Arabidopsis thaliana: one gene and its partner. The protein of the gene in region 1 binds, or shares a complex with, the protein of each later gene. Each region holds a gene or a part of one and is shown in the gene's direction. Other genes may lie near its edges. The genes, in order: AT2G20635 and BUBR1.

Evidence for each region.
Region 2: AT2G20635 (region 1) and BUBR1 share a complex: the UniProt entries of both Arabidopsis thaliana proteins name them as parts of the mitotic checkpoint complex.

Annotation. Positions count from the first base shown.
Region 1 is NC_003071.7:8,898,655-8,902,577, forward strand, and holds the start of AT2G20635 (protein kinase and Mad3-BUB1-I domain-containing protein), read left to right. Parts: upstream 1-1,705; 5' UTR 1,706-1,755; coding exon 1,756-1,808; intron 1,809-1,907; coding exon 1,908-2,055; intron 2,056-2,222; coding exon 2,223-2,380; intron 2,381-2,477; coding exon 2,478-2,568; intron 2,569-2,658; coding exon 2,659-2,772; intron 2,773-2,863; coding exon 2,864-2,951; intron 2,952-3,170; coding exon 3,171-3,274; intron 3,275-3,351; coding exon 3,352-3,423; intron 3,424-3,497; coding exon 3,498-3,587; intron 3,588-3,676; coding exon 3,677-3,834; intron 3,835-3,923. Other genes in the region: PIA1 (PP2C induced by AVRRPM1), read right to left, coding at 9-245, 962-994. UniProt on the Arabidopsis thaliana protein: Serine/threonine-protein kinase that performs 2 crucial functions during mitosis: it is essential for spindle-assembly checkpoint signaling and for correct chromosome alignment. Has a key role in the assembly of checkpoint proteins at the kinetochore.
Region 2 is NC_003071.7:14,213,721-14,217,643, reverse strand, and holds the start of BUBR1 (BUB1-related (BUB1: budding uninhibited by benzymidazol 1)), read left to right. Parts: upstream 1-1,589; 5' UTR 1,590-1,725; coding exon 1,726-1,925; intron 1,926-2,013; coding exon 2,014-2,073; intron 2,074-2,189; coding exon 2,190-2,334; intron 2,335-2,422; coding exon 2,423-2,580; intron 2,581-2,661; coding exon 2,662-2,746; intron 2,747-2,835; coding exon 2,836-2,905; intron 2,906-2,981; coding exon 2,982-3,042; intron 3,043-3,159; coding exon 3,160-3,334; intron 3,335-3,428; coding exon 3,429-3,514; intron 3,515-3,588; coding exon 3,589-3,675; intron 3,676-3,770; coding exon 3,771-3,834; 3' UTR 3,835-3,923. Other genes in the region: GALS1 (glycosyltransferase family protein (DUF23)), read right to left, coding at 1-283. UniProt on the Arabidopsis thaliana protein: Essential component of the mitotic checkpoint. Required for normal mitosis progression. The mitotic checkpoint delays anaphase until all chromosomes are properly attached to the mitotic spindle.

The DNA of each region.
Region 1 (3,923 bases):
TGAGTTACCTCTTTGAGTATGTTATCAAAGAGATTGGTTTGCAAGTACTTGGCTACATCATGCCCTAAGTGACCATCAAAGATAGCAAACAAACCCAAATCATGGCCGTCTACTTTCTTGAACTCAGACACAACATAGTCCTCCATCGGATGGCCCGCTTTGCCTTTCACAAAGTCATAACCGTGTGCGATGTTCTTCCACACCTTGGTTTTACCTCTGCCTGTGTCAGATCCGCATAATCCAACCTTCAAATATTCACACCCAAACAACAAGAAATTATACTATTAGTTTCATTTTTAAAAAAAACTTTTTTACTACTCAATACATTATAATCATTTTATTCTTAAGCTAAAAACATAAGTTGACAAATAACAGCAAAATATAAGAAGAAAAAAAAAAGCAAATATGAAAATAAATGAGAAAGATAAATTATAAAATCAAGTTTGGTTTGATAAACAAAAAGAAATTCAAAGTTTAGACATTTAAAGAAAAACAAATGATTATTAGATCCACATAACCCTTTGTAAAGACTCAATTTCATGAATAAAATTCAGCTTGCAGAACAAAACAAACAAAAAAGATCTACATAATCCAACCTTTACCAATTCACACCAAAACACAATCACATTAATCCAAGTTCTGTAATTTCTTCATCAAGAGCAACATACATACATTTCATTATCACCAAATCTCTAACCAAAAAGAGAATATAGAAAATGCACAAATTACTGAAACAAATTCAGTAACACAAGCTCTAGAAGAATCAATATCATCGTTTAACATGCGAGATGCTAACTTCCTTAAAACGGCTCTACGTACAAGTTATCACAAAGAAACAAATATAGCTTAATGAGAAACAGAACAAGACATACAAGGATCAGATCACAAAATCAAGATTCTTTAGAGCCCTTGAAACGCTACTAAAGAAAAAAGAAAAAGACTAGCGTTGAGCTAAGCATACCTTCATCTTATGGAGAATCTCTCTGCCTGCCATTGTTACAAGAATTTGTTTCTCTGCCTTTGTGTCTGAAATATGAATGATTCTAAGAAAGAAAAACAGAGAGATGAGTTTATGTAATAAATATGAATGTGAGGTAATCAATCCACATGTGAACAGCCGGTGATTCTTATCATTATTGGCTACTGACTTCCTCCGCCGACGACTTTTCTTCTTTATATTTTTCTCAAGGCAAAAGTATTCCCTAAACAAATTCTCTCTATTATTATTTGCTACATTCTTTCACATTGCCGACAAAATAAAACATTACTTTTAAAATAAAAAACTGTTATTTCGTGCACATCATCTCATTCATTACATTATTGATCGGAAAAATATTTTTTTGTTATTACTTAAAATAACAAGACATTATTTTATCAGTTTTTCTAGTTACTCTGTCATGACAACATGTGCAACAAAGAAAGGAAACTTTATCTTAAAAATATTTTCAAACAAATTCGAACAAAATGACGTCGACAAAAAGAAATACGCGTGTAAAAGACAAACCACACGCAACAAAGGCGCGTTTAGCGCGTAAGACTAGAATCCGTGGACCTGAAGCGCGTGGGCCGGGATTTTCATTTGTCTTAACTGAAACAATGGGCCACATAATTAACAAAATAGGCCCATTTACACTTTTGGGTTATATAGAATATTTGCTCTGGTCCAACAAATTTTGAATTTCGAAAGTTAATTTTTTTTGAAAAGCTTCACTTCCCACTCTCTCTCTCTCTCTCTCTCTTCCTACGGCTGCGAAAATGACAATCGGTTACAGAGACGCCGCCGGAGACCCGCTCTTCCCGTGGCTTATGTAACTCATGCTTTATCCTTCCTTCTCATCTAACTAATTGTGCTATATGTGTCAAAATGGATTCTAATTTTCCGATGTTGTATTTTGGGGTTTTCACAGGGAGATTAAAAATTCGATGGAGGATCTATACGCTGGTAAAAATTCCGGATACGATCTCGATAAGCTTCTATTTGATTGTATCTCAACTTATAAGAAAGATTCTCGGTACCGAAATGACCTCAGATTCCTCAAGATCTGGTTTCTCTATGTAACTTTACTAAAACCCTCTCTCCCAACTTGTTTGAGCTTAAATTGTGCTTTTCTTTCCTCGATTGTTTGTTTGATTAGCATTCTTAGGGTTTGGGATTGTTATATTGCGAATCAACTGATGTAGATGTTACAGTTTGGGGGTTAAATTGTTGAATCTCTTCTTAGCTTGAAGGCAGGGAAGATTTTGAGAGGGTTTATAGAGAAATTGAAGAGACTGAGATATGTAAAGGGCATTCGTTGCTCTATGAATGGTATGCTATTTTTCTTGAGGTCAAAGGATTGTGGCGAAGAGCAAATTCTGTTTATCAGACTGGTCTTTCAAGGTCTCTTATCTTTCTCCTTGTTCTGTGGCTCCTTCCTTATCTTTTTCCTCTAGTTTGTGGTTTCATTTCTTATTTGTTTCTCATTGGAGAATTGTAGGAAAGCTGAACCATTTGACAGGTTAAAAGAGGCTCACTCATTGTTCTTACAAAGAATCTCTAAGAGGACCAAAGCATCTTCCCTTGAAAAGGTTTATTTTTTAATTTTAATGAGTAGCATATGGTTATTCTAATGCACTTTGATAGCTTTAGTTGAGGATTGAACGTTTTCTTTCTGGCAGGTTGGTGATGATGCTCAGGCCACTGACTTGGAGACGGGTTTTGTGAATCCATGGGAAACATCCACTGTGAACGGCTTAATTCACAAGATAAAACCACAGCTTGTGAAATATGATGTAAGGCTGATGGAAAATCATGATATTTTACATGATTTAACTTATATAGGGAGGCTTGTCCACTGAGTTTCTTTCTTTATGTTTGCATCAGGGGTACCATGTAAGCAACAAAGTTTTCCCTGGAAAGGCCAACCTGTCATCTTTGCAGAATTATTCCAGAAATAAGATCATTGAGATAGGTATACTTTTTTCATACCAATCTAGTCTGTCACCGCTACAGGATAAAGAATCCTTCTTTTTATTATAAGATGCATTTTTCAAATTAAAAGTGGCTGGGCATGTATTCATTTGTGTAAAAGAAATTGATTCCCGCTTTGTTCTCACCTGGGACAATATGTCTTCTCTGAGACTAAAATAAAAAAAGTGACCTGGATCCATTGGCTCTGTCTATTTGCTAGGTGGAAGAAAGTACCAGATGAAGGGCTGTGCTGGCCAAGGTGGTTTTGCTCAAGTGTTCAAAGCATTCATTGACAGCAATCCTGATGAAGTAGTTGCTCTAAAGGTAGATAGACCCTTAAAGTTTTTTCAAATACAGTATGATGCTAAATGCTCATATTGCATATACAAATCTCTTCACAGGTACAAAAACCACCTTTTCCTTGGGAATTCCACATGTATCGCCAACTTGATTGCAGGATCCCAGATAGCCAAGTATGCCCTTTTCCATTAATATTACCAGTTCACAGGTGTTTCACACCGTACTAATTACTCTCATGCTATGTTAGAGATCAAGTTTTGGATTGGCTCAGAGAGTGCACGTGTATTCAGACTACAGTATACTTGTCTGCGATTATTTATCACACGGGACACTCCAGGTAGGTGGTATCTTAGGACTCTCACGGACTGAATATACAAAATGCAAACATAGTTCTTTGCTTCATTTGCCTTCTTTTTGTGATTTAAGGACGTCATAAACTCGTATGTCGTTGTTGGAAAGTCCATGGAAGAAGTTTTGTGCATGTATTACACAATAGAAATGCTGAACATGCTGGAGACTTTGCACAGTGTTGGAATCATTCATGGTGATTTCAAGCCAGACAATCTGCTGATCCGATACCCTCCGTAAGTTTATTCCGCTCCAATATTGCTGATTAGATTGTAGATAAAGACTTTTTGGTCATGAAGCCATGTACTTGTATGTTAACGATCGT
Region 2 (3,923 bases), 5.3 Mb from region 1:
AGGGAGTTGAATCGTACTTCTGAGAAGCTGCTGCAGTTGTCGTTGAGAGAGAGGTGGTGAAATTCTCCGCCGAAGTGAAGTTCGATGAGGAGAGTAAGGTGGTGGTGGTGGTGGTGGTGACGGCGGAGCAGGGACGAGCGGTGGAGATGAGGTTGTGGTAGTAAGGAGGAAGGTTCCAGACAATCATGACGAGAGAGAGAGCTAGTAATGTAGCAATTATTGGTTTCTTCTCGAAACATACTGTGGTGGTTGATAACACCGGCGGCAAAACTTCCTTCCTCATGTTTTTTTTCCCGACGACGGTGAGTAAAACGCACCGTTTCGGTTATCAATTATTTAAAAATTAAAAAAATTCAAAAGTGACGACAAGCGTCAGAGAGAAGTGACGAGAGGCTTTGCCGACACGGCGTGTAGAAATTAGAAGACTCGTGGCTGTCTCACATATGATATGAGGAGTGATGTGGTGGAGGTTATACGAGAATGGGCTTGGATCTATTATGATTTACGAAAAAGACACTGCATCTAACTTGTAAAAAGTTGGATCAAGTCTGTTTTATGTATTGCTGGCTCCCAATTGGCAGCATGGTGGGGACACATGGTCCTTTGGGCAAGTTGGCGTAACGGTGTACCTTCTTTGGTGATGATTTAGTTTCGGTTAGAGAAATCGAATGAGTTTGGGCACGGAAAGGTGAAATGTGAATAGACTCGTTAAAGAGTTTGTGAATTCCCAGCAAAAAGTAAAAAAAAAAAGTGTGTTCTAAATTCCTTTGAATGTAGACTTTGTTTTAAACATTTGAATTAAAAACATGATTTGTTCTTCCAGTTATGGAATTCTTAAACGTACGGCAAAAGGCTTTTAGTTTTAGACTTTAGTAATAACAAGCAAAATGTATATTGATTGCGAATACGATTGCATGCATTTAAAGACTTGTTTTTTTTTCCAAACTTAAACGTCAATAAAGGAGATCATGTGTGTCACATTCCCAAACTGAAGGATACCATAAATATCAATTCTTTTATTATGTTTTCTTCATTTCATTTTCTTCAATAAACTGTTACTGTTTTATTGTCGGTGGAAGTTGTTACAATGGAAAAACAGACTTTGTATACAACTTCTAATCTTGAGTACGTTTTGTTTAGGAATTCATAATTGAGCACACTAGGTTTAGCGTGTAACGCAATGTATGTGATCATCCCTTGTTGAACCGACAGACAGAGAGCATCTTGTGGTTGTGGATGAACTTTTTTTTAGCTTCCAAGTCAAAAAGTGAATTATGCTCGTAATTTATTTAAAGAAGGTAAAAAAAGAGTACATCTTCTCTTTTATCTTTTGCTTTGATTGTTATTCTCCAAAAGACCAAAACCATCTAATTTAGAAGAAAACAAAACAGTAAAAATAATTTTCTCTGGATTATTGTGTTATTTTGTTCAGCCAATTGAATTAATGAAGTGTATTCTGTCATTTCTTTTACTATTTTACTTTCGCTCATTGTCATTTTTCTTCTCTTATCGATTATTTGTAGTAGGAGTATACACAATTCGGTTTAGATGGCCACTTAATGGGTTTAAGAAATCAAATCATGGCCCATCTAAGTTAGGCCCATCAAAAGCGTCTATACGCTCCGAGTATGCGTACATCAAAGCAAAAAGTTGCGAAGCTCTCTCATTGAGTAAACTAACGGCTATATTCTCTCTGATATTCAAAATTTGCTCGAAGAAACGACGATGGCAGCCGAAACGAAGGTTCAGGTTTCAGATCCAGAGGCAGAGTTTCTTAATTCGAAGCAGGAGACTGGATACGAGTGGGAGCTTTTCAAGGAGAACGTCCGGCCATTGAAGAGAGGTCGCAATGTTGGTATTCTCAACCACGCTCTCAAATCTCACTCTGACCACCAATTGAGAAAGAATCTCATCGAGAAACGCAGGTACTGATTTCAATCTCACATCTTTGCTCTTGGGTTTTAGTCTAATCGCTCGATTCTTGTCTAATTTTGTGTTGTTTTTGTGAATTAGGAATTTGATTGAAGCCATTGATGAGTATGAAGGAGATGACCCTTTATCTCCATGGATAGAGTGAGTTCCTTTTATCATTCTTGATTGGGTTGTTGAAAAATTGAAATTTTTCTTGAACCAATCTTTATGCTGTGACCAATTTGTAAACTGAGCTTCTTAATTGGTTTCTTTGGAAGGTGTATAAAATGGGTACAAGAGGCTTTTCCACCAGGAGGAGAATGTTCAGGACTGTTAGTGATATATGAGCAATGTGTTCGTAAATTTTGGCACTCTGAACGTTACAAGGATGATCTTCGTTATCTTAAAGTCTGGTTGGAATATGTAATGATTCTATCTTTAATTAAACCCTCTAGATGATTCTTTCTTTGTTATGGAGAGAGTACTCATAGTTTTTGTGTGTGTTTTGAAGGCGGAGCATTGCGCTGATGCGGAAGTGATTTACAAGTTTTTGGAGGTCAATGAGATTGGAAAGACACATGCTGTCTACTATATAGCTTATGCTTTGCACATTGAGTTTAAGAATAAGGTCAAAACTGCTAATGAGATCTTCAATCTTGGAATCTCTAGGTAAATGAACAGATATGTAATCTTACTTTCATGTTTCGGCTCCAAGTTATTGGTCTGATTTGAAAGTGGGAACTTGTGCAGGGATGCAAAGCCAGTGGAAAAGTTGAATGACGCGTACAAGAAGTTTATGGTGAGAACGATGAGAAGGTCCAACACAGCTGATGAAGTAAAAAGTTTTGTCTCTTTGTAACACTTTATATCTATTCATTATGGACTAAGGTTTTTCCTAATCATAATTAATGTTCTACCTACCAGCAGGAACCAAAGGAGAATAATGACTTACCGTCAAGAAGCTTTGGCACTTTATTGTCCAGGGGAGATAATAGTGAGTCACATTAACTTAACTTGGAAACCACTGAAATGTTTTGGTAAGCTATCTTACATGAAAATGTTTTCTGTAGATGCAAGAAGGCAGGCGTTAGGAAGTTCTAACCCACAAGCCAAAAAGCTAAAGCCAAATCAGTAAGTAGTTTGATTGGTTCTATATTTCTCGTTGTTTTCATTATCTGCATTTTCTATCAACTCATACCTTTAAATTATTCTGCAACTCACTATGGTAAGCAACTTTGTCTTTTGCAGATCATCCAAGACACCTTTTGCTATCTACGCAGATGCAGTTTCAGACACCACATCAGGGAATCAACCAGAGTCAGACAAGTCAAGACCAGAGTTTGGTAGTTGGCTCATGCTTGGAGGCAGAGCAGAGAGGAACAAAGAAAACAATTCTTTACCTAGAAAATGGGCATCATTCAAGGTTTTCCCTCTACCCTCCTAAACAAAACTATCTCACTTGGCTCATACTATCTCTATAAATTGATCACTAACTGCATTTATATTTATTGTCACAGGTTCCTCAGAAACCCATTGTGAGAACTGTTGCAGCAGCATCTGCTTCCACCTTTGAGGTTTTTGTCGATGAAGAAGAATGTACAGAGTAAGTTTGACTAATTTTTCAGAAGTTTTCTGAACAAAACATGTTTCCACCATTAACATGATTCTGAAATGCAGAGAGGAAGAAGAAAAGAAGAAGAATGATGAAACTATCTCATCATCATCAAACGTTCTGCCCCTTAATGGCGGCCGTGAGATAAAAAAGTAAGCAAAAAAATTCCCCTAAAGATTCATTCACCAAACAAATATTATATCATGACTTGGTAGAGATCTAACAATGGTTACTTAAAAAAATGCAGAGAAACAGAGCTGCTACGACAGAACCCTTTAAGACATTTCCCACCCAACAGCTTCCTACGATGATGATATTGGACTTTCTTCTCTACACGATCTTATGGTTTGAGATTTGAGCTTTTGTCTATAAAGCTCCTTGTGTGTTTTTGCCTATTTGG